Arabidopsis thaliana: one gene and its partners. The protein of the gene in region 1 interacts with the protein of each later gene in a pairwise test. Each region holds a gene or a part of one and is shown on either strand. Other genes may lie near its edges.

Region 1 (6,775 bases):
TATTGATCGTTGCTGCGACTCCGATATCGGTTAGTGTCGCCATGATTTAGAGAGAAACACACAATGTTCCTGAAACAAACGAAAAAAATTAGGGTTCCTTGCAATCCAAGGACTTCCAAATTGCCAATATTTTTAGCTAGTTTTTCTCCATAAATTTCTCGTTTCACCCAGAAATCGGAATTTTTGGATCCTAGTCATAGTCTTTTCAGATTCCGTCAAATCCATTAAACACTGAATCAACTCTACAAATGAGTGATTCTTCACATGAATGTGAAAGATAGAGATAAAGTTTAAGTTTTTACCTTTCTCAAGAGCTCAGCGATGAAACTCGTCTTGTTGTTTCTATCTGTGAAGTCAAACAACGTTGAGCAGAGAATGAAGGAGAGGAAGAAGAAGAAGAAGAAAGTATTAGGGATCAAAAGAAGAAGCAGAAACATTCATAAAAATGAGATTTTTAATTTGTGTGTTTGGGTTTATTTTGGAAATTGATCCAAAGATTCAACTGAAGTGAGATTTCTGCTGATTCATACGTTTTGGGTGTTACAAGTCCATTTAATTAATTAATTAACTAATTTAGCGAACCGAGGATTAAACGGTGAAGGACACCTGGCAAAAGAGATTAATTTGTGTTAAATAAAGTAATAGTGTTAATTAAGGAATTTGTATTTTAATTGAATGTTTTGTTGTTTAGGACATCGTCCGTTACTGGGTTCCTTTTCAGTTTCTTTAGAGAAGCAATAATGGTTTATTAGCCTTATAGGTCTCGCCGTATTAGCATGTTATTTATGTTCATATTATAACGGCTGTATTTTATATTGGTTTAACGTTTTCTAATGTATTTATTTATTCCCTGATTTGAAAGTTTAGAGGACACATTATGTTAAAAAAAAAGGTTTGAGATCTGACTTTTGGAATGAAAAAGTTTTGATTTAATATTAGTCAGTTTAAGGTAACTTTTTGTGTGTTTTAAATAATTATTCCGTTACAAATAATGGACAAACGAAAAAAAATCATAGATATATGTAGCCGTATCTGTATGTTGTTGACAGAAGAAAAAAACAAAAAATGAAATATATTGGTTTATGGTAAAAGAATATTCGATTACTCTATTTCTAATAAAGAAAATCTAGCTAGGTGAAATAAGAAACATACTTAGTGTTCTAAGCTGGAATATAGATTTTATGTATTGGGGAATCCATGTGACAAAATCATTCGAATTTCTTTGGTGTTATGGAAGACTTGTTCTAAGCTTCGTGAGAGTATCCATCACAAAAAGTTATATTTTTATGTTTTGATTTTTTTGTCGGCAAACTCGATTTCAAAAAATTTATTTATGAGAATTTTAATGCATTTCATTATTATCTTTGACGTGAGATGCTGATATCGGAGACGTTGAATAATTGACATATAGAGCGTTATAGAAAATCATATAAAAGTCAACTTGTGAGTTGTGACATGTAAAGTTCGTATAGACAGACAAAATATACGTGAGCATACCAAAAAACAATCATTTCTATATAACAACAGCAAACCGGAAAACGAGTCTACCGGCCGGACATAAGACTGACTAAATCTTCGTTTTGGAAGTTTCCAACATCCCAATTTCCGGTAGACGAAAAGAGAGTGGATAAAGCAACCACAATGTATCTCATACTCGGACGTAGCTGCGCATTCTCTTGTGTACATGCTTTCCCTAATTCCGCCATCTATACCACAACACATAAAACACCAAATTGGCTTACCCCGTTATTAAAATTAGCTATGTGCAATCCGGTATTCGGTTTGATTTTTCGACACTTTAAGCTAATCGAATAGCACATTGTTCAGTGAATACCGGTTTTTAAAAATCGCACTTTTAATCGGTTTTTCGGACCAAAAAACGGATTGGACACCCTCTTTTAGAATGATCAATGATGAATAGAATAGGGAACAAGAAGAGATATTACCTTGTATACCGAATCAAACGGGTAACTATCACCGAGCCTCGGGTCTATAATCTTGCGTAGTGCTTCTTCTTTGTCGGTTTCCTTGAATGATTCTTCGAACTGAATAATAAATAAACAAAGCATATTGTTAAGTGATCCACATACATGCCTTTAAATCAGAAAGACTAAATGTTACGAAGAAACAATAATACTAACCACACCAACAAGGCCTCTAAATTCACCAACGGCTTCTGTCATTTTGACAACCGCACCTTTCGCAGAAATCAATTCGTAAAGGACAACTCCAAATGCATATACATCTACTTTTGCAGACACTTCTCCATAAACAGTCCTGCATACATACATATATACACCATCACTATAGTGTAGTCTCTAAAGTAGTATATAAGTGTAAACGAGATCAAATTCTTTACTCTGGTGCCATGTAACCAAATGTACCCATTGCACCCCGAGTTGCTGAACCTCCAACTTCTGTCAGTTTTGTTAACCCGAAATCTGCTACCTGTAACACGTAAACGACTCAGAGCGGTGACAAAGGAAAAATCTAACCTTTTCAGTATTTTTCACTTTTGATTGACAAAAGAGAAATCGAGAATGTACCTTTGCTCGGAATTTCTGGTCTATCAAAATATTGGCAGATTTAATGTCCCTATGGACATAAACTGGAACCGTGTGCTCGTGGATATATTCTAAACCTCTAGCTGAGTCTAGTGCAATCTGCACTCTCTTAGTCCACGGTAATGGTTCTCGTCCTAGTTTCACATAAACTCTTTTAGTTTACAACTTTCTCGAAAAATGATTCACTTTTGGAGGTCTTTATATTGCGTACCTGACCCATGTAAATGTTGTCCAAGGTTACCATTCTCAACATATTCATACACCAAGAAAAGTGATCCCTCAACACAATATCCAATCAGGCGAACCTGCAAGAAAAAACAAATTCGTTAAAATTTGGCTAAGACTTGATCTTCATCTGATCTCAGATATTATCTTGAGAGAACACAAAAGGGGTTTACCAGGTTGACATGATGTACACGCGTTAAGACTTTTAGTTCCGCCAAGAACTGTTTCGATGCCTCCATGTCCATCTTCTTAATCGCAGCTTTCTATACAAGAACCGAATAATTTAAATGTTCCATGTGTAGTAGCTTCAAACAAAAAGATATAAAAAGATATCTGCTTACTTCTCCTCTCAGCTCTGCATAGTAAACAGCCCCAAAACCACCTTGCCCAATCTTAAAAGACAAATTGAAATTATCAGTAGCCTTTGCTAGTTCCTCCAACGAAAACTCAACAGATTTGTCCACGCTTATGGCAGCAATGCCAGGAGACACTCCGGCACCACCCAAACCTCCACTTTGGAGACTAGTAGAAGAAGCTAAAAGCAGATTTCATATAAACATAATAAGCAACTCCCAGCTAACAAAAGAGACAAAAACTGCTTGTATATGATCATCACGAAATTACCATGATCAGCCTTAGTAGACAACGGAATAGAAGAAGAAAACGAATCACCCTTCGACTTATTCTTCCGGTAAGCATAATATACGATAAACAAGATCAACAACAAAGCCACAATCACTCCTATAACTATACCAGCAATAACTCCAGCACCAACACCATCTGCTAATACAAAAAAATATCAAAAACATACTCTTCCATGTCTCCTCTTGCTTCGTGCATAATCATCAAAAGCTCAAAAATGGAGAAAAGAACCAACCTTGTTTACTACAAAAAACATAAGAGAAGTAGAAATACATCAGTAAATAGATATCAAAATGAACAAAGATACAATCTTAACAACAACAAAAACAACCTTGATTTGAATGGTGGAAATGCACCATTTGGATCTGCAAAAAACACAGGAACATGTACATAAACTTCAACAATCATTACTACATTTATAACAATTTGTGTCACAAATCATCAAAGATCAATCTTTGTACCTCTTCCAGGCACATAAACGATTCCATTCCCGGAGTTAAAATTAACACCGGGATTATATCTCTGCAGAATATCCGCCGATACACCGGAAGATCTCGCAATAGAACTGAGACTGTCTTCAGGACGAAGCGGATACGTAACAAACAAACCAAAATCTTTCGAAACACTCTCATCACCACAAGAACAATTCACCAATACATTAAGCGTCGCAGAGAGAGGTATGTTAGTCGCCGGAAAAGGATTCCTCGCCTGTAACGACTCCATCGTCGTGAGATTCGCGTAATTACTAATCGCGACTCTTTCGTAAGTATCTTCCTGTCGAACACTGTAGCTGAAATTGTGCCCTAGGAAATCACCAGGTTGACATTCGCAAGGGAAAGGTACAAGAACCCTAGAGCCCATCTGGATTCTATCTTTGTCTTTAATGTTACTGTTGTACCTGAGGATTGGATCGAAATTGATTTGATCGTAAGGCGCGATTGAAGAATTGAGGTTTTGGTTGATGACGGAGAGTGTTGTTCCGTTCTCGAGATAGTACGAAGCTAGAGCTAAAGGACAGCTAGTCCTGCACTTAGATTCCACGGCGAAGAAGAATGAGAAGAGAAGAAGAATCGGAGCGATTAGAGAAATCTTTAGCTTCATTTTGAAGCTTCCTTAGATTCCCCAGAGGAAGGGTCTCTGTTTTTTTTGTTTCGTCGTTGCTCTGTGGGGAAGAAGATGGATTCAAAGACGAAAAAGGTTGACTTAATCAAACGTTGACTATTTTTTTCAACTAAAGAGAATGATGATTACTGATTAGTGTTTGTTAATTGTTGAGAAGTTTCTTAATTAATTAATAATACTAAGATCATTTAATGCAACTAGCAGCTGGAATTTGAAAGTCTTTGGTCAAAGACAAAAACTATGAAGACCGCCATTTCTGTTGAAGGAAGTAGATTTTACGTTCGAATTTTGTATGTTTTTTGTTAAAAATTTATTTTTTTGGATCAAAATATAAAGTTACTTTATAATCGAAAACAATAGAGACTATTTTTTTTTCTTATATAAAATATTTTTCAAAATTCTCACTAATAAGAAATGGGGGTAGATCTTTCACGTTGGTCTTTTAGAGTTGAATTGTTACCCTTCTTCATACATTAATCTGCTTTAACTCTGTGGCGTCGAAAGATACGGGAGAAAAGGGAAACAAACCATTGCCATAACACTATCAACCAAAAAAGGCTCTTTGACTTAGCACCACCTTCATCTTTCCCTTTGAATATTCCTTTGTACATTTCTTTCTGCTTTTGGTACAAGGCTTTCTCTTGCTCTGCAAGTGCTCGTAGCTCTCTTCTAATCGCCTTGTCGTCAGGAGCATACTTTTGTGCCTTTCGGAAATCATCACGTGCTGAGTCCATCTGTCCTAGCTCTGCCTTTGCTTTCCCTCTTCTGAACAGTGCTTTTGGGTTTTTCTCTTCTTCTGTCAACACCTGATAAGGTTTTGAGTTTGATTAGATTTCGAGAAACCGAGTATGAACTTTAATGATTTTCTTCAAATGAATGGTTTGATGAGTCTTACAATGTTGCAGTGACCAATTGCTTCATCGTATCGTTTTAGTTTGATGAGGCAAGCTGCTATGTTAAGATGGCATGGGTTTTTAACTGCTAAAGCCATATCCTGGTACTTCCCATACAGCTGAAACATAAAATCGTCCCCCATGTATGCTATGGCCTGAAACAGCAAAACCATGACTAATCAAAAGCCGAAAGAAGACACAAGAGCCTCGAGCAGACTCACTAAGTATGCCTGAAAACCTAAACTTTGACCGTAATTGTTGGAAAGAGAGATAGAGATAGAGAGAGATGCATAACCATTTCATACTGTTGCATGGCTTCCTCCAGTTTCTCCTCCTTAAAAAGAGAATTCCCATCCATTTTTCTTCTGTCTGCTGCACCAATCCTTTCCTCTACAGTCATATCACTGCGAGCTTTTCCCTGTTCAATACATCATCTAAGTCAGAGAGGTAAGCAAGGAGGTTGGGATAAAGCTTGGATGTGGAGTCGTCTTGGTAAGGAAACAAGATGATGGTATAGGAAATAACTTACCTCCTTTGTTTCATCAAACCCAATAACTTCCACCTCATATAACAAGTCTGCCATAGGTGGAACATTCGGAAAAGAAAAGTTTCCTTCTTTCCCATAAGCTAATTCCCAGCCAACATGCACAAGCGCACGTTCACCAGACTTCATGCTAGCAACACCGATGGCTAAACCGGCTAGTTCTTTTTTCTCTGTCTCACAGACAACATTTCACTCTTAGTGCACAATCTTTTTTATAAAAAAAATTGTATAGTGACGTTAAAATGGGCTAATCAGCATTGAAGCAAAAAAAATACAAAACTCAATCTTTTTTCCTCCCAAATATCCATCTCATTGGGTTCATATAATACACAAGCTAACTCATCAAATTTACCAATGACGATTCATCTAACGAAATGGAGGTGTAGAGTACATATTCGACAGCCACATACCTTTTCCAAGAACCAATTCAATAGGTTGCTGCTCATGCCATGTATCCTCAAATTTGTGCTGCGAGTTTTTGGTCCATGCCCTGTAGTGCACTATGGCCAATATGAAATTGGTCAGATAGAAAGATTCAAATAAACAGTAGCAATAGGCCAACAAGTGCAATCGAAAAATCAACATCCAATCAACAGAAAGCTAAAGGGTACTTACAAAAGCATGTAGAGTACTTGGATGGTTTGGAACCGTGACCTTCCTTTATAATCTGCTTACTGACTTTCTCATCCAAGACCTCAGCTTCACTATCAACTTTAGGAGGAACATTACCCTCTTGAGATGGCTCACTATGCACAACGGCACTTCCTTCAGTAACTATTTCGCTC
Region 2 (4,367 bases), on another chromosome or scaffold:
AAAGAGTGTACTACAAAAAGGGCCTACTACTATTCAATTAACGTTGCTCGTTAGTGTCACGTGGGGAAGTTAAGGTTCCCACTTCCCCCACCACTTCTCTCAGTTCTCTTCTTCTTTTTATTGTCCCATTCCAAATTTTAACCAACACATCAAGCAAACTTCATTAATTTATGTTCAGTGTTGTAGTTGCAAACGTTATTTATTATTTTACGTTTACAAGTTTAGAACTAGTTCGAATCGTGATAATCTTGAATAAATCATAACTTTGTTCATCTAATCATAAGAACATAGAACTTTGACATGGTGTCTCCGGATCTTGTTGACTTAGTTCTATCTTAAAGTTAAGCTACACATATTATAGGGACCCCATATTATAGTACCCAAACAAACAATTAGAGAGTTTGTATGCAAATCCATAATATTTACCGTAGAATTGTATGGGTTTAATGAGGAAAGAAAAAGAAAAGAAAAAGAAAAGAAGAGAAGGACACTGAAGGAGAATGTGATGCTGCTGAATAAAAGATACAATCAAAAAATTGACAGGCAGTACAATAATGATAAGTAGTGTCATGACAGCTGACGACTCTACTGCCCAATCTTGACGTTATTTATTTTTGTCCATTTTTTCTTAAGATATTATTTCAACTTAAAAGAAGTAGAAAATAAACCATAAGTGCATAACAATATTCCTTTTATAAATTGGGTTCAAGATATTGATTCGATTCTGTTTATTTCAAGTGTCGTGGAACTCAATTTTATGTTATGCCTGCCTCGGCAACAAAGATTTTCGTTCAAGTGGCTCTATGAAAATAAGTTAGGGCAAACTAGATCGATTGATGTAAACACAAATAGAGCTAAATAGTGGAGATAGTAAACTGGTGATTTTGTTTCGTAAATAGTCAAAAGGAGGGGGTGACAAAAAATAGATTTGTCCCTTACCTCTAAGAGATATAGAGCAAAACGTTTGCATAGCGCTGTACCATTTCCTTCTATATTTTATATATGTGGATGTGCATGGATCTAGCTGATGACATAACACGGCAAAATCATTTAACATTTGATTAGCATTGGCATCAATATTTGACGACGCTCCTCATTATTTATATATGTGGATGTGCTGATGTGCATGAATCTAGCTGATGACATAACCTAGTATATGTGCATGGTTTTATGGTGTGAACAAGTTTTTTTTTTTTCTTTTCTTGGTTTTAGGTGTGAACTTTAAGTTAGAGATGATCTTCAAATCTCACGAACCACAAACCTCCTTGCACGTTAAGAATAGCCTCTCTTTTTTTCTTTTGTTGCTTCTAGTCTCAGAGTGTCTTCGAGATATGTGTAGTCTTTAGTGTACCCTGAGACCTGAGTACAAGATCGAAAAGAAAATATCTCGAATAACAGAGTTGTGTTTGCTGTTTTTACCATTTAATTATGCTAATATCTTTGTTTTACATAATACCAATTGAAAAATGAATACATAATTCAAGTTTGGACCATTCTTGTATATCCACTTTTGGCTTCGTGGCCCCGATAGCTAATTTGATTGACCTTATCATCTACACCAAACAAGAAATTAAATTGTCAAATTAATTTAGTGGTGGCCCTATACTATAAAATCGTAAACACTTCTTTTTGAAACTAAATATAAACCTTACGACACATTTATGTGCAAATTAGTGGACATATTCCTCAGTAATAACGTTTTTACAAACCTACAGTTGGATAAATTATTGAGTCACTCCATGATTAAACCAACAACATAAGAGAAAAATAAAATAGTACACTACGAATGATCTTTTAAATATGTTATTCTTTTTTGATACAGAAACTTTAACTACCAAAAAAAAAAAGCGAATGATTCATAAAAACGCAATGTGGTATGTTTGGTCTGTTTTTTAGTTCGAATCTCAACTTCTTGTTACCACAAAAATAAAACATTACACAATGTAAATTTACTGTTCAGTCTTGCTTTTCCAATCACTACATTAGCACATATTCTTCACATGTATTTTCCACTAATCTCGCGACAAAATGTTCACAGTGTTTCTCAGTTTCTCTCTCTCAATATTTTCTTGTCAAACAACATGCATATTTGAACCCGCATGGTGAAATAGCATCGGCATTAACATGATCAACCACAAAATAAACCGGGGTGGTGTCATAGCATCGACATTAACTTAAAACTACAAAATAGAGCTGGGTCCTCGTCAGGTTTTAAGGATACATATGTATGCATGTATGCATATACAAAATAATAGAGCACTAAAGCTTGTTCGTACTCTTTTTTACACAACATGCTAATAATTTTTATACCTTAGGAGTGAAATTTTAGTGGTCCAACAACTTAAGCACCTAAGATCCTTCCCCACTTTTGTTTGGGGCTCCTTTATATCTCTTCCAATGGTTACTTTTACTTCCTCTTCTTCTCTTCTTGTTCCATCTTTCATGTGAGAGAGAGAGTTGAATTTTGCAGATGAGTATGAGAAGAAGCAAAGCGGAAGGGAAGAGGAGCTTACGAGAACTGAGTGAGGAAGAGGAAGAAGAAGAAGAAACTGAAGATGAAGATACTTTTGAAGAAGAAGAGGCTTTGGAGAAGAAGCAGAAAGGTAAAGCTACAAGTAGTAGTGGAGTTTGTCAGGTCGAGAGTTGTACCGCGGATATGAGCAAAGCCAAACAGTACCACAAACGACACAAAGTCTGCCAGTTTCATGCCAAAGCTCCTCATGTTCGGATCTCTGGTCTTCACCAACGTTTCTGCCAACAATGCAGCAGGTAAATTTTTGTCATCTTTTTTCAAAACTCCTGCAACAATAACCATAAACAAGAACAAGAAATATGAGACCTTTTACCTTTTGTTTTTAAGGTTTCACGCGCTCAGTGAGTTTGATGAAGCCAAGCGGAGTTGCAGGAGACGCTTAGCTGGACACAACGAGAGAAGGCGGAAAAGCACAACTGACTAAAGACGGTGAAACGTGTGAGATCCCGGTTTGAAGGTTAATGAAACAGGCTTTGCTTACTCTCTTCTGTCAGTCTCTTTTAGCTCCTTGTAATCCTCTGTGTCTCTGTCTGTTTCTCCATATTACCTGTAATCAAAGCTATCTGCTAAACCTACGACATGGTTAAATAAATGCATTGAGACTTAGTAAATGCTTGAAGAAATTATGTGTAATAACTCTTTAAACTTGTCAAATGTTATTTCAAGCCAAGATCTTAAACTACACCAGGGATCTGTATTTGTTTTGCAATCAACAAATGAGGAGACAGCTAAATAGCTATCAAAAATAATAATCTGGGAGACACTTTTGATTCGTGATATATGTAGTTCTGTTACATGAAAGCTCATCAAAATCTGAAGCAAATGCAAGCTCCTTGTGGTTTAAAGATCTGTAAATCGAACCAAATAAATTAGATTGGAAGACTAATCCTAGTCACGTTTGATTCCCAACATTTTCATTGAGAACTCCCAAGCAACAATTGCTGCTGCATTAGCAGGGAATGCTCTCACAATGGTTGGACCCAAACCTGCATAGCATCCCTTGAGTCCTGCCCTCTTGTGAATCTGCAGAGATGATTTAAAGTCAAAAACAATATTTCATATACTCTTTTGTATCGGTAATTAGATTCATAGAGGGAAGATGGCTGACTGACCGAGCTCAACACTTTAAAAGGATTTCTCTCTGTAGCTTTCTCTGAAGAGGTCTGGATTATGGTTTTTGCTACATCAAAAGGCAAAACAGCTGACCAGCACTGCATCATAGAAGCAGAAGTAATATTCATATAAAATAGCAACATTTTTTATGATGGAATTTATGAAACACACTATATAGATTCCTACAGCTATGCCTCCAAGACCACCAGTGAGAACTCCTATCCCCATGTCAACCAAGTAACCATCTTTCAGCTTAGAATCCTCCAATCTCGAGTGGATATGATACCGTAAGTACTCATAGACAGTAAAAAAGACAGCATTTCCCGTACATTCTCTTAATAAGGTTGCCGAACCACCACGAAAGATACCTGTTACCTGAAAGATATCCCCATCAACCTGATATTCGATTCTTAAGTAGAATATTTTAGCAACGAGAGTTTCTCACCCCATCATTTTTAACGGTCTGAACGGCACAATCAAGAGGACTGTTGTATCTACGGAAGTTAGGAACCAGAGAATCCGTTCCTTGGATCTGCATTCTACACTGAACAAAACAGTGAATGTCCCAAAACTCCATGGAAACCATCAAAGGTGATAATTGCGGGGAAAGAAATGGTGTTCTGGAGATTTCACCTTTACTAGCTCTGTTGGACATAACACAAAACTAATGATAGCTCCACCAAACATAGCAGACGGAACAATTATCTCTGGTCGTGGCCCA
Region 3 (5,020 bases), about 13 Mb from region 1:
GTCTCCAAACTCTCAACTTGTCGGCATATAGAGGAACACCAGAAGAGAGAGATCTTGCAGTGTATTTCTTGAAGAACGCTGTTCACTTGAAGACCACAACAATCAAGTCATGTGTTTTTGATGATGAAAGATTTGACATGTTAAAGGAGTTGGCACTTTCTTCTAGAGCTTCAACAACATGCCAACTCGTGTTTGATTGAGAGTATTTGATCACCAAAACAAAGCTTGTTCTTCAGTTCTTCCATGTCCCCGGGCTCGTATGGTTTGTCTTCAACCTGAAAATTTGTTTTCGTCAACCATCTTTTTCTATGTTTTCCGTTTTTTTTGTATGTGATAAAAACTTTATTCTATATGTTGTCCACCAAAAAACAAATTATGTTGATTGGAGAAGTTATATGATAAGTTTTAATCGTTTATGGGGTTTTATAGGTGTGTAGAGATATATACATACCTTGTGAATGAAGAAAAGAGAACTAGCTCTGTGTTGAAAAACTGAAAAGCATTTGATGCCCTGATAATTTCTCTAAAATTATTAAACCGAAATACTAATACGATCCAAGTGGAACCAACCAATTTCTTAATATCTAAAATACCGGAATCTAAAGAGTCGAACCAAACCGAACCGGAATGTCCTCTAATTTTTATTTTTAAACCCATGATTATGACATGCACTACCGGCTTAGTGGTGATGTTTGGCAACATGGTTTATTCAATTCTCACTCGCACTGAGTGTCTGTGGCTCATAAATCATTTACCTTTTCAATTTCTCAATTCCAAATCTAAAAGTCGTCAAAAATGGCTCTCCGATCTGTCAAAACGCCGACCTTGATAACTTCGGTCGCCGTCGTCTCCTCCTCCGTTACCAACAAGCCTCACTCTATCAGATTCTCTCTTAAACCAACGTCGGCACTCGTCGTCCATAACCATCAGCTATCGTTCTACGGTTCGAATCTCAAGCTGAAACCAACTAAATTCCGATGCTCAGCGTCGGCTCTTACGCCGCAACTTAAAGACACGCTGGAGAAACTGGTGAATTCGGAGAAAGTGGTTCTGTTTATGAAAGGAACGAGAGACTTCCCGATGTGTGGATTCTCCAACACTGTGGTTCAGATTTTGAAGAATCTGAATGTTCCTTTCGAAGATGTGAATATTCTGGAGAATGAGATGTTGAGGCAAGGACTTAAAGAGTATTCGAATTGGCCGACGTTTCCTCAGCTTTATATCGGCGGTGAGTTTTTCGGTGGTTGTGATATTACTCTTGAGGCGTTTAAGACTGGAGAATTGCAGGAAGAGGTGGAGAAAGCTATGTGCTCTTGATCCTGATTTCAATACTTGGTTTTTGTGATGATGGAATTTGATCTTATCTATCTATCTATCACCTGGGAAAAAAAATGTGATTTTGATGTTTCAGAGTTTGTGGTTGTAACATTAAGAGACATATATTGTATGATGGATTTAGGTATACAACAGTTGGAGTTGCTTGGAATTTGAGTTTCCTTTGTCATATGTGTTGGCCTGCAAATTTGTGTTGTTTGTTGAAAGGTTTATGTGTGAAGTAGTGCTAGTAGAATCTAAGTTTGTTTCTGACTAAGAGACATGAAGTCATGGGTTGTTATGCTCATTCATATCCTGATTGAGATACAATTTAAAGAAACTTAGTTCCAAAGATTCTGAACATTCACCGGTACAGTGTGTCTGCAAATGGTATTCTGTCTCACTTCAATGTCTAAACACGTTGTCTCAAAATGTATCGTTTGTTAGATACTCCTTTCAAGACATATGATTTAGCCTCGCATGTGTTCGTTGATCCAAGTTTTACCGGTTTGATAAGTCTCCAGTCTTAGCAATAAATCCAGACCGGATTCATGACCAATCGCAGATTTACCGGTCCGGGTCAAGTTTTAAAACATTAGTAGAAATGTGTTTCACCGAACAGGAAGACTTATCTGATAGCATCTCGTTGCAGTGGATAAATGGCAAAATAGTAATATACGTAGATTCTGCTTTTATCTGAACCACATAGTGCAGATGGATATCGAACAGAAGAACATGATATCGAGAAGACACGTGGCCCAATGAAAAAGCCACGCAGGCTCTGTATAGCCAATTGCAATCTGGTTTTAGATTCTCATCTCACAAATCTTACTTATACGATCAGTCTCCCACATTCACACTTCCACCAAACACCTCTCGTCCACATCTTTCTCCTTTGGTGGCAAACACAACGACAGATAGAGAGAAACGATGGCGTCGAACTCGCTTATGAGCTGTGGCATAGCCGCCGTGTACCCTTCGCTTCTCTCTTCTTCCAAGTCTAAATTCGTATCCGCCGGAGTTCCACTCCCAAACGCCGGGAATGTTGGTCGTATCAGAATGGCTGCTCACTGGATGCCTGGCGAGCCACGACCAGCTTACCTTGACGGTTCTGCTCCTGGGTACGCTTCGAACCCTTTTACTCTGTTTTGTTGCTCAGTTTGGAATCAGAATTGTTTGTTAGATTACTCTGTTTTGATGACATGATGCAACATTGTACGTTTTGTGAAAGATTCAATTTTTTTTATGTTATTGGGTATTCATATTTCAGAAAGTTGTCTCCTTTCAGAATTTGAATTCCCTTTAGTTGTGTATTCAGAGATTCTAGATAGATTACTGGAACCTCTTTTGATGACTTAAGGGTTCTGATTTCAACATTGGAGGTTGTTTAGAAAGTTTCAGTTTTTCTAAGTTATTGGGTACAACATTGTGCAGTGACTTTGGGTTTGACCCACTTGGACTTGGAGAAGTTCCAGCGAACCTTGAGAGATACAAAGAGTCAGAGCTCATCCACTGTAGATGGGCTATGCTCGCTGTTGTAAGTTTCAATATCCAATCTTTGTCTTATCATAAGGGTTTAGTCTTGTTAAGTTTAATCTAATGGACTTGGTGGGTGGTGTTGTAGCCTGGGATTTTGGTACCAGAAGCATTAGGATATGGAAACTGGGTTAAGGCTCAGGAATGGGCAGCACTACCAGGGGGTCAAGCCACTTACTTGGGAAACCCAGTCCCGTGGGGTACTTTGCCCACAATCTTGGCCATTGAGTTCTTAGCCATTGCATTTGTTGAGCACCAGAGAAGTATGGAGAAAGACCCTGAGAAGAAGAAGTACCCGGGAGGCGCATTTGACCCTCTTGGATACTCGAAGGACCCCAAGAAGCTCGAGGAATTGAAAGTTAAAGAGATCAAGAACGGTAAGCACACACAACAACTTACCTTTCTTGATCAAACTTATGTACAAATGTATATCTAATGTTGGTGTTTTTTGCTTGGTGGGTGTAACAGGGCGGCTTGCGCTGTTGGCGTTTGTAGGATTCTGTGTGCAACAGTCGGCTTACCCGGGGACAGGACCATTGGAGAACTTGGCAACTCACTTGGCGGATCCATGGCACAACAACATTGGCGATATTGTTATCCCTTTCAACTAATGAATGTAAAAATAGAAATATGTGTACCTTATGAGCTTTATGTGTATCAAAAACACTGTGTAATGAAAGACAGATTTGTGAATTCCTGTAATTTGTCTTGGTGATCGAATGCTCGTGTGAGCTTGAATTCTAAGTGATGAACCTTTTGAACCCAAATACACATTACATCTCATGCTTCCTACAGAAGAAACATTGTAAGCTCATGACTATTTGTTAGATTTCTCAACAATCACATTCACATACTATAAACTCCATAACAGAAGAAACATTGTTAGCTCATGATTATTTGTTAGAGTTCTCAACTCTATCCAAATATGCTTTTTGTTTATATCAACTTAGATAAATGGTTATTGAACCACACCAAGATACATGCATTTTACATTTGAGTTTTGATGAATATTTTCTATTCATCTTTTTTCCCCCTCATTTTTACCTTCTACATTTTTTCATATTGAACAAAAACAATCCTGTTAATTTTCTTCCCTCTCTTTTCTAGTAAAATCATTTAAGGATTTTTTTTGAAATTAGTTGATGTCTTTCTTATCACATTTGTTCTATACTTCTACTAATTTTTCTTTTGTTCTTTTGCATACTAATCTTCACCTACAAAATAGAGTACTCTCTAAACAGAGTCTTGGAAAGTTTTGTCTTCCTTTTATATTCTCAACTATAAAGTTTAAATGAGACATAGTTCTAGAAAATAACATCTTTGACATTCAATGGTTCCCTTAATTATATATTGAGCTAGAATTTGAAGAAAAATCAATACCACATTAATGTTTACAGATTTTAATTCATATATGGCTTAGTATTCTATTATTATATGATTTTCTCAATTTAATTCATTAAAATCAAGTAATCAGAATTTCAAATAATTTATTTTATATTTCAAAAAACTTAAAGAAAACTTTAGATTTGACATGTGACAAAATTTTCACCATTCTCTTCCAATATAATAAAGAATGGAGCTATCTTCCTAATCATATCCACGTAAGATTGAGATAGAAACTTGAGCTGCGTGGGGCATGCTTAATTTTTTCTGTCTCATTGACCCAAAGATATATCTGTATTCTAGTGGATACATACATTATTTACTCATTACCAACTACAAGTAAACTCCTTTAATTAATTTTTAAATTCTATATTTGGCTCATAAATTATTCCTTTTTAAAATTTATTTTTAGTTGATTTTTCATTGCCTACTCAAGATCTAAAATTTTCCTTTACATATAAAACCTAAAAGAAAACATATAATGCAGTTTCAATCCCTCTACCAAATTTTCTGTTGATACTTTCCTCATTAAGGTAATCATTCCTCTATCCTCTACTTTTCTTATGTAGCAAACTTTCTCTTTCTATCATGAATTTTGGTTTCTCCTTAGAATCTTTTTGGATCTTGAATGCTTCTGATCTGTTTTATTTGGATCTTTAAAAATATATTCTTCACCGGAAATGCCATTGTTTTAATCTCAATACATTTCTTAAGGAGATAGAACTAGTTCTTTGATTGAAAAATCTCTGTTTTGTTGCCTTAGAGATGAATGAAGATTTTAATGAAT
Region 4 (5,846 bases), on another chromosome or scaffold:
GAAACCCTAACAAAAGCGCTTACTTCCGACCCAAGTTTCCACTCGGTGATCGCTGCTGCCATCTCAACTATGGTCGGATCAAATGGAGAACAACAGATTGTCGGTCCACGGCATTCGATTAGCAATAACATTCAACAAACCAACACGACGAATAATAACAAAGGATGTGGAGGCTATTTTAGCAGCTTATTGATGTCTAACATTATGGCGAGTAATCAAACGGGTGCTTCTTTGGATCAACCATCGTCGCAACTTCCTCCCTTCTCTATGTTCAAGAATTCTTCTTCTTCGTCTTCTACGACTAATTTCGTGAACAAGGAAGAGAAAAGCTAGTCATTGTTCTTGTTTTTTGTTTTTTGGGTGATTTTTTATTAGGTGTTTTAATTAGTCTTGTATCAAGATATGTTGATTCTTGTTCGTCCGTTTCTCAAAAGTGTTTATTTTTTCTTCTTAGTTAGGAGACTATGGAACCAAATTCAAATAAACCAAACCAAATGTACAATTTTTTTATGTTCTTGTGTGGCAAATATTATGTTCTAATTTGATTTAGATTGAGATGATACAATAATTTAATCTATCTACTAGATTAATCAATAATCACAACGTTTTTTTATTTAAGTAGAAAATAATAAAACAAGAGTCAACAATACAATTTGGTTTCAAGAAAATTACAATTTGAAAGGGAAAAAAAAATAGAGAGAGAATATTATATCATATGTATATATATTTAGACAAAAAAGTGAAAATAAATGGGCGTGGGCCTAAAGTGTCGGAGCAACTTTCGAATTAAAAGTGTACTGTAGGATGAAATGGATCTGATATGCTGATTCAGCCTTATTGGGGCTAAACAAATGGGCGTGGGCCTAAACATATGGGCGTTAGTGAGAAATCTTTGATATTCACCGAAAGGATACTTACAAGTGATCACCGAAAAGAGATGCAAAGAGAAATGGGAAAACATAAAGAAATACTTCAAGAAAGTCAAGAAAGTTGTAAACAACAACAACAAGACGACGAATAATCTGTAATGATGATGATTCGAGTTCGAACCGGTTTGGTGGTGAATGATTAGTAATCTTTTCAAAACCGGTTTGGTTTCTGATTTTGGTTTGATTTGTTCTGTTCAGATCCGACCGGACCGGTTTGCTACTAAGGTATGCAAATAAATTATTTAGAGAAAATTAATCTATTTAAAGTTTCCTCCATTTAACTAAATAAGAATAGCTTATTGGTTACATAGATTTTATTTTATTTAAGAGTTTCATCATTTATAAGACGAACACATTTTATCTGTTTCTTACTATAATTCAAAAAAGAATAGAATGACAATATTCTTGACCAAAAAATAAAGAAGGAAAATGTGAATATTGTTCTATCATTAGTTTATTCGTCCATGAATTATTTATCTATTCATTTCAAATTTACTATTCATCTAATTAAAGAAATTAGATGGACTTATATTTGATCAAATTCTTTTGAGGTTTCGTCATACACATTTCGGTTTAATCAATCTAAAGATTCTTGTGAATCAAAAAAGATTAGTGCCGCCTTGGATGTATTCATCATATAAATGATTCAATCAAAGGTCTCTCTTTCTCTCTTATGACATGAGTTAATGATGAATCTATTTTCTATCTTTAGATAAGCCATAATTAATTCAGTCCTAGAATCAAGCATGTAAGCAATAGAAAGAATCAAGCATATAAGTAAACTATCACTCTTATCGCTAAACAAAACGGTATAAAAATATATCGTTTGCGATTTGTTAAATACGTCAATAAATTTGAATATTCCATAGTTATAAAGATTTCAATATCTCAATTATAGTCCATTATTAGTTGTAAGATAAAAAAATGGTGTGTTCTTACCAAAAATAAAAAGATAAAAATGGTGTGTTTAAGTTTATCTATTAGAGTTTGGTGATTCATGCAACTTTAGCTGTAAAGATTTTGGGATAAGAAGAAAATTATAAATGGTAAACACAATCCGGTGATATCTCCTAAATTCTCTATGAATCACAAATTCGTCAAAAACTTCCTATTTTGTCTAATTTTATCCAGTAACATTCAACCTATAAATTCTCAACAAGAAATTCATTTGACTCATAATTACTTGTGATTCTTATTTGTCTTCTTCAATATGGCGAGAAGTTCTGTTTTGCTATGTTTAATTCTATTGGTTACGTTAGGAGTTGTGATAAGTGTCACATTTGCCGACAACGTTGAATTGAAATCAAAAGATCTAGAGAGCAGTAAGAAAGATAAGAAGGTTGATCATGATAGTACACACAAAGAGAAGGGAGGTGAAAAGGTAGATGGTGCCGGTTCTGATGATGAAGACAACGATAAAAAAGAAAAAAAGAAAGAGCATGATGTGCAAAAAAAGGATAAACAACATGAAAACAAAGACAAGGATGACGAGAAGAAGCATGTTGATAAGAAGAAGAGCGGTGGTCATGATAAAGATGATGATGATGAAAAGAAGCACAAGGATAAAAAGAAGGATGGACACAATGATGATGATGATAGTGATGATGATACGGATGATGACGATGACGATGATGATGATGATGATGATGATGATGAAGTTGATGGAGATGATAATGAGAAGGAGAAAATTGGGTTATACGAGCTCAAGAAGGGAAATCTAACTGTCAAATTCACAAATTGGGGTGCTTCAATCATATCTCTCCATTTCCCAGACAAAAATGGTTAGTGAACAATCATATTGATTGTTGGCAAAAATACAACTCATACTATATATATCGTATAGACATATAACGAAATTGTATTATTAATGGTTAATACTGATTTTCAGGTAAAATGGACGATATTGTTCTTGGCTATGATAGCGTCAAAACCTACAAGGTATGTAGAAAATTCTTTTTACCGTGTGTGTTATATTTTTAATTTGTACTTTTGAATTATTGCTATGTTTTTGTTATACTAAACTAATAAATTAGTTTTTTTTATCACTATTTAGACCGACAAGGTTTATTTCGGAGCAACCGTTGGCCGAGTAGCAAATAGAATAGGAAAGGGCAAATTCAAGTTGAATGGTAAAGAGTACAAGACAAGTGTCAACGATGGAAAAAACACACTCCATGGTAAATTAATTATGATTGCCATAACATAATTAGATCAATTAGTTATGATTTATGCGAATATATGTAATTGATTTAGATTTTTGTTAAATTAGGTGGCAAGAAAGGGTTTGGGGATGTTGTGTGGGCAGTTGCAAAACACCAGTACGATGGCAAGAAACCACACATTGTCTTCACTCACACAAGTCCTGACGGCGATCAAGGTTCCCTTTCTTTCACTACTTTTTTATTCTACCCAAAACTTTTGAAATGTACTATGATCTAAGGAAGAATCTAACGATTACTAGTCCTCTTTTTTTATATATCAATAGGGTTTCCGGGAGAACTCAGTGTCACGGTGACATATAAACTTGTCAAAGACAATGAATTGAGTGTGGTGATGGAGGCAAAGCCTAAGGATAAAGCAACTCCGGTGAACTTAGCTCATCATAGTTATTGGAATCTTGGTGGTCATAATTCCGGAGATATTTTGTCTGAAGAAATTCAAATCCTCGGCTCGGGTTATACCCCCGTCGACGGTGAGCTCATTCCCACCGGGAAAATCAATCCGGTGAAAGGAACAGCATACGATTTTCTCCAACTCCGTCCTATTAAAGATAATATGAAGGATCTTAAAACAGGGTGAGTGGTAGCACATATATATACTTTGCTAAAATATCAGTTTTAGTATGAACAGTAACCTATATGATTGTTTCATTTTTTATCTTGCAGATATGATATAAATTATTGCTTAGATGGTAAGGCAAAAAAGATGAGAAAAATAGTTGAACTCGTAGATAAGAAATCAGGGAGGAAAATGGAGTTATCCGGAAACCAAGCGGGTTTGCAATTCTATACCGGAGGGATGTTAAAGGATGTCAAAGGGAAGAATGGGGCAGTTTACCAAGCTTTCGGGGGATTATGTTTAGAAACACAAAGTTATCCAGACGCATTGAACCATCCCAAATTTCCTTCACAGATTGTCGAGCCAGGGAAAAAATACAAACACACTATGCTCTTCAAGTTTTCTATTGTTTCATAGATTGTTTTAGATGTTGTTACATGAACACCCTTGGAACCATGTCCAATGTTCATGAACAAGAAACTAAATACATTGTAATATTTTGTAACAATGCTTAAATTATCAAATTATATGAACCTAACGTGAATATTCGATCTGTACGTAATTTATGCATAACTCATAAGTATGCACTATTTTTCTGTAACCATATAACAGTATATGATTATATAGAGGAAAAATTAAGTGCCCTATGAATTTGATTCAAGATCCGAAACCAGTTTGTGTTGCATATAACTCCACTGAAGACGTACCTTAAGGGTTTGATATTTGTATAATTGTATCTAAGAGTAAGAGCCCTACCAACAAGAGTCAAGGTCGACGTACCAATCTCTATATAAGGTGCTCACACCAAGTGTTTTCAAGAATCCTGACGTCCTTTTTTACAAAAATGCAAAGCATCTTCGGATTTTTTTTCGGTATAATACAAAGCATATTTTCGAATAGTTTACTCATTGGTTCATCAAACAAATACCTTTCGGGCATATGTTGAGATGGTGTCGCTCGTGGACATAGACTTTCTCGGCTCTGCTTTTGTTAATTATTTCAGTAAATCCAAATGTGATTAAAATAAAATACTAAAAATAACTAAAATCCTGAAGCTATTTGGGAGTTAGATCTTTTGAACGAACTCGAAGTAATTTAGAAGAATGAGTTTTTTTGCACCAACTGTAACGGTCTAAAAGAGATACTTCGTATGTAATCTGTCGCTTAAGAATAGTTCATCGTCCATCAATTTTTACATTTAAAAGAAAACTTATGTATTCAGTTAGACAATATTCTTATTATAAGGCACAAGCAAAGGTATTTATCAATGTCCTCTACAACAACTTACGCAAAAAAAAAATCCGCACATCCTCTCATTATATTTTTCTTTAGAGAATTACTATTAGTTAATATTATTTCAAACTATGTGGGTAATCTGGGGATGTTTGAATTGTTCAAAAGTTTGGTCATAAAAATGTGGGAATGAAGAAATATTATTACTTTTTTCGGATTTTTAAGATCAAATTAATTTATTTAATGCGATTATATATGGCGGGTCAATCTATTCGACGTATTCGTTATGACGGTGTTTGTTAAATCAAATGTAGAAAAGTAGAAAACAGAACATTTTAGGAGTTGACCTATCCATTATCCATCAACTTAAACATGTGCACTTCACCAAAATTCTTATACAACCATATAAAATATACGAGAGACCCAAGATCTCACATGCCATTATCTATTTATCTAGCTATATATTCCATAAACTACGTATGTAAGTACGCACACGTATTGAGTGATGTCCGAATAGATTAGTGGAGTTGACATTTAGTTTTGCGATCTGACCATAAATTTTAGGTTTTACAGTAACTTTCTTTCACCCTATACAACAATTCGTTTCACTTTACTTGGTAAACTGAAACTTTTTGATTTTGTGATCTATTTATTTATTTATATTTTCTAATAAAGGGTCTTCGTTTTATTTTCTACATAAAGTTTAGGTTTAGTGATTTATATCACAATAAATTTAAGAAAAACCATTGCCTAACAACTAACCACCTCATAATTTTAGATTTGTTTTTGCCAAACATTCAAAATCGCAAGTAGTTTTTGTGGAAGTGAAGTGGTGGCAGTGAGGTCACATGGAGAGCCCACAAAGAAGCAAAATATTTGGTACTACCTTTGTTTTCTTGTGTTTTA

Evidence for each region.
Region 2: the proteins of CERK1 (region 1) and SPL3 interact in a two-hybrid assay, tested with the Arabidopsis thaliana proteins (one study listed by BioGRID).
Region 3: the proteins of CERK1 (region 1) and LHCA1 interact in a two-hybrid assay, tested with the Arabidopsis thaliana proteins (one study listed by BioGRID).
Region 4: the proteins of CERK1 (region 1) and AT5G15140 interact in a two-hybrid assay, tested with the Arabidopsis thaliana proteins (one study listed by BioGRID).

The regions. Positions count from the first base shown.
Region 1 is NC_003074.8:7,613,999-7,620,773, forward strand, and holds CERK1 (chitin elicitor receptor kinase 1), read right to left. Parts: upstream 4,674-6,775; 5' UTR 4,533-4,673; coding exon 3,893-4,532; intron 3,797-3,892; coding exon 3,763-3,796; intron 3,675-3,762; coding exon 3,667-3,674; intron 3,570-3,666; coding exon 3,414-3,569; intron 3,325-3,413; coding exon 3,131-3,324; intron 3,053-3,130; coding exon 2,963-3,052; intron 2,870-2,962; coding exon 2,776-2,869; intron 2,699-2,775; coding exon 2,547-2,698; intron 2,449-2,546; coding exon 2,360-2,448; intron 2,278-2,359; coding exon 2,142-2,277; intron 2,046-2,141; coding exon 1,947-2,045; intron 1,707-1,946; coding exon 1,545-1,706; 3' UTR 1,359-1,544; downstream 1-1,358. Other genes in the region: AT3G21620 (ERD (early-responsive to dehydration stress) family protein), read right to left, coding at 1-43; TWD1 (FKBP-type peptidyl-prolyl cis-trans isomerase family protein), read right to left, coding at 5,027-5,359, 5,449-5,601, 5,742-5,864, 5,976-6,160, 6,401-6,490, 6,606-6,775.
Region 2 is NC_003071.7:14,302,872-14,307,238, forward strand, and holds SPL3 (squamosa promoter binding protein-like 3), read left to right. Parts: upstream 1-2,129; 5' UTR 2,130-2,470; coding exon 2,471-2,769; intron 2,770-2,846; exon of another isoform or gene 2,847-2,860; coding exon 2,861-2,957; 3' UTR 2,958-3,201; downstream 3,202-4,367. Other genes in the region: MBAC1 (Mitochondrial substrate carrier family protein), read right to left, coding at 3,422-3,556, 3,646-3,744, 3,833-4,021, 4,092-4,190, 4,280-4,367. UniProt on the Arabidopsis thaliana protein: Trans-acting factor that binds specifically to the consensus nucleotide sequence 5'-TNCGTACAA-3' of AP1 promoter. Binds specifically to the 5'-GTAC-3' core sequence. Promotes both vegetative phase change and flowering.
Region 3 is NC_003074.8:20,338,147-20,343,166, reverse strand, and holds LHCA1 (chlorophyll a-b binding protein 6), read left to right. Parts: upstream 1-1,990; 5' UTR 1,991-2,244; coding exon 2,245-2,435; intron 2,436-2,748; coding exon 2,749-2,851; intron 2,852-2,938; coding exon 2,939-3,227; coding exon of another isoform or gene 3,228-3,286; exon of another isoform or gene 3,287-3,318; coding exon 3,319-3,461; 3' UTR 3,462-3,663; downstream 3,664-5,020. Other genes in the region: AT3G54910 (RNI-like superfamily protein), read left to right, coding at 1-200; CXIP1 (CAX interacting protein 1), read left to right, coding at 796-1,317. UniProt on the Arabidopsis thaliana protein: The light-harvesting complex (LHC) functions as a light receptor, it captures and delivers excitation energy to photosystems with which it is closely associated.
Region 4 is NC_003076.8:4,906,547-4,912,392, forward strand, and holds AT5G15140 (Galactose mutarotase-like superfamily protein), read left to right. Parts: upstream 1-2,104; 5' UTR 2,105-2,139; coding exon 2,140-2,710; intron 2,711-2,817; coding exon 2,818-2,867; intron 2,868-2,982; coding exon 2,983-3,106; intron 3,107-3,198; coding exon 3,199-3,306; intron 3,307-3,414; coding exon 3,415-3,724; intron 3,725-3,814; coding exon 3,815-4,124; 3' UTR 4,125-4,374; downstream 4,375-5,846. Other genes in the region: WRKY72 (WRKY DNA-binding protein 72), read left to right, coding at 1-333.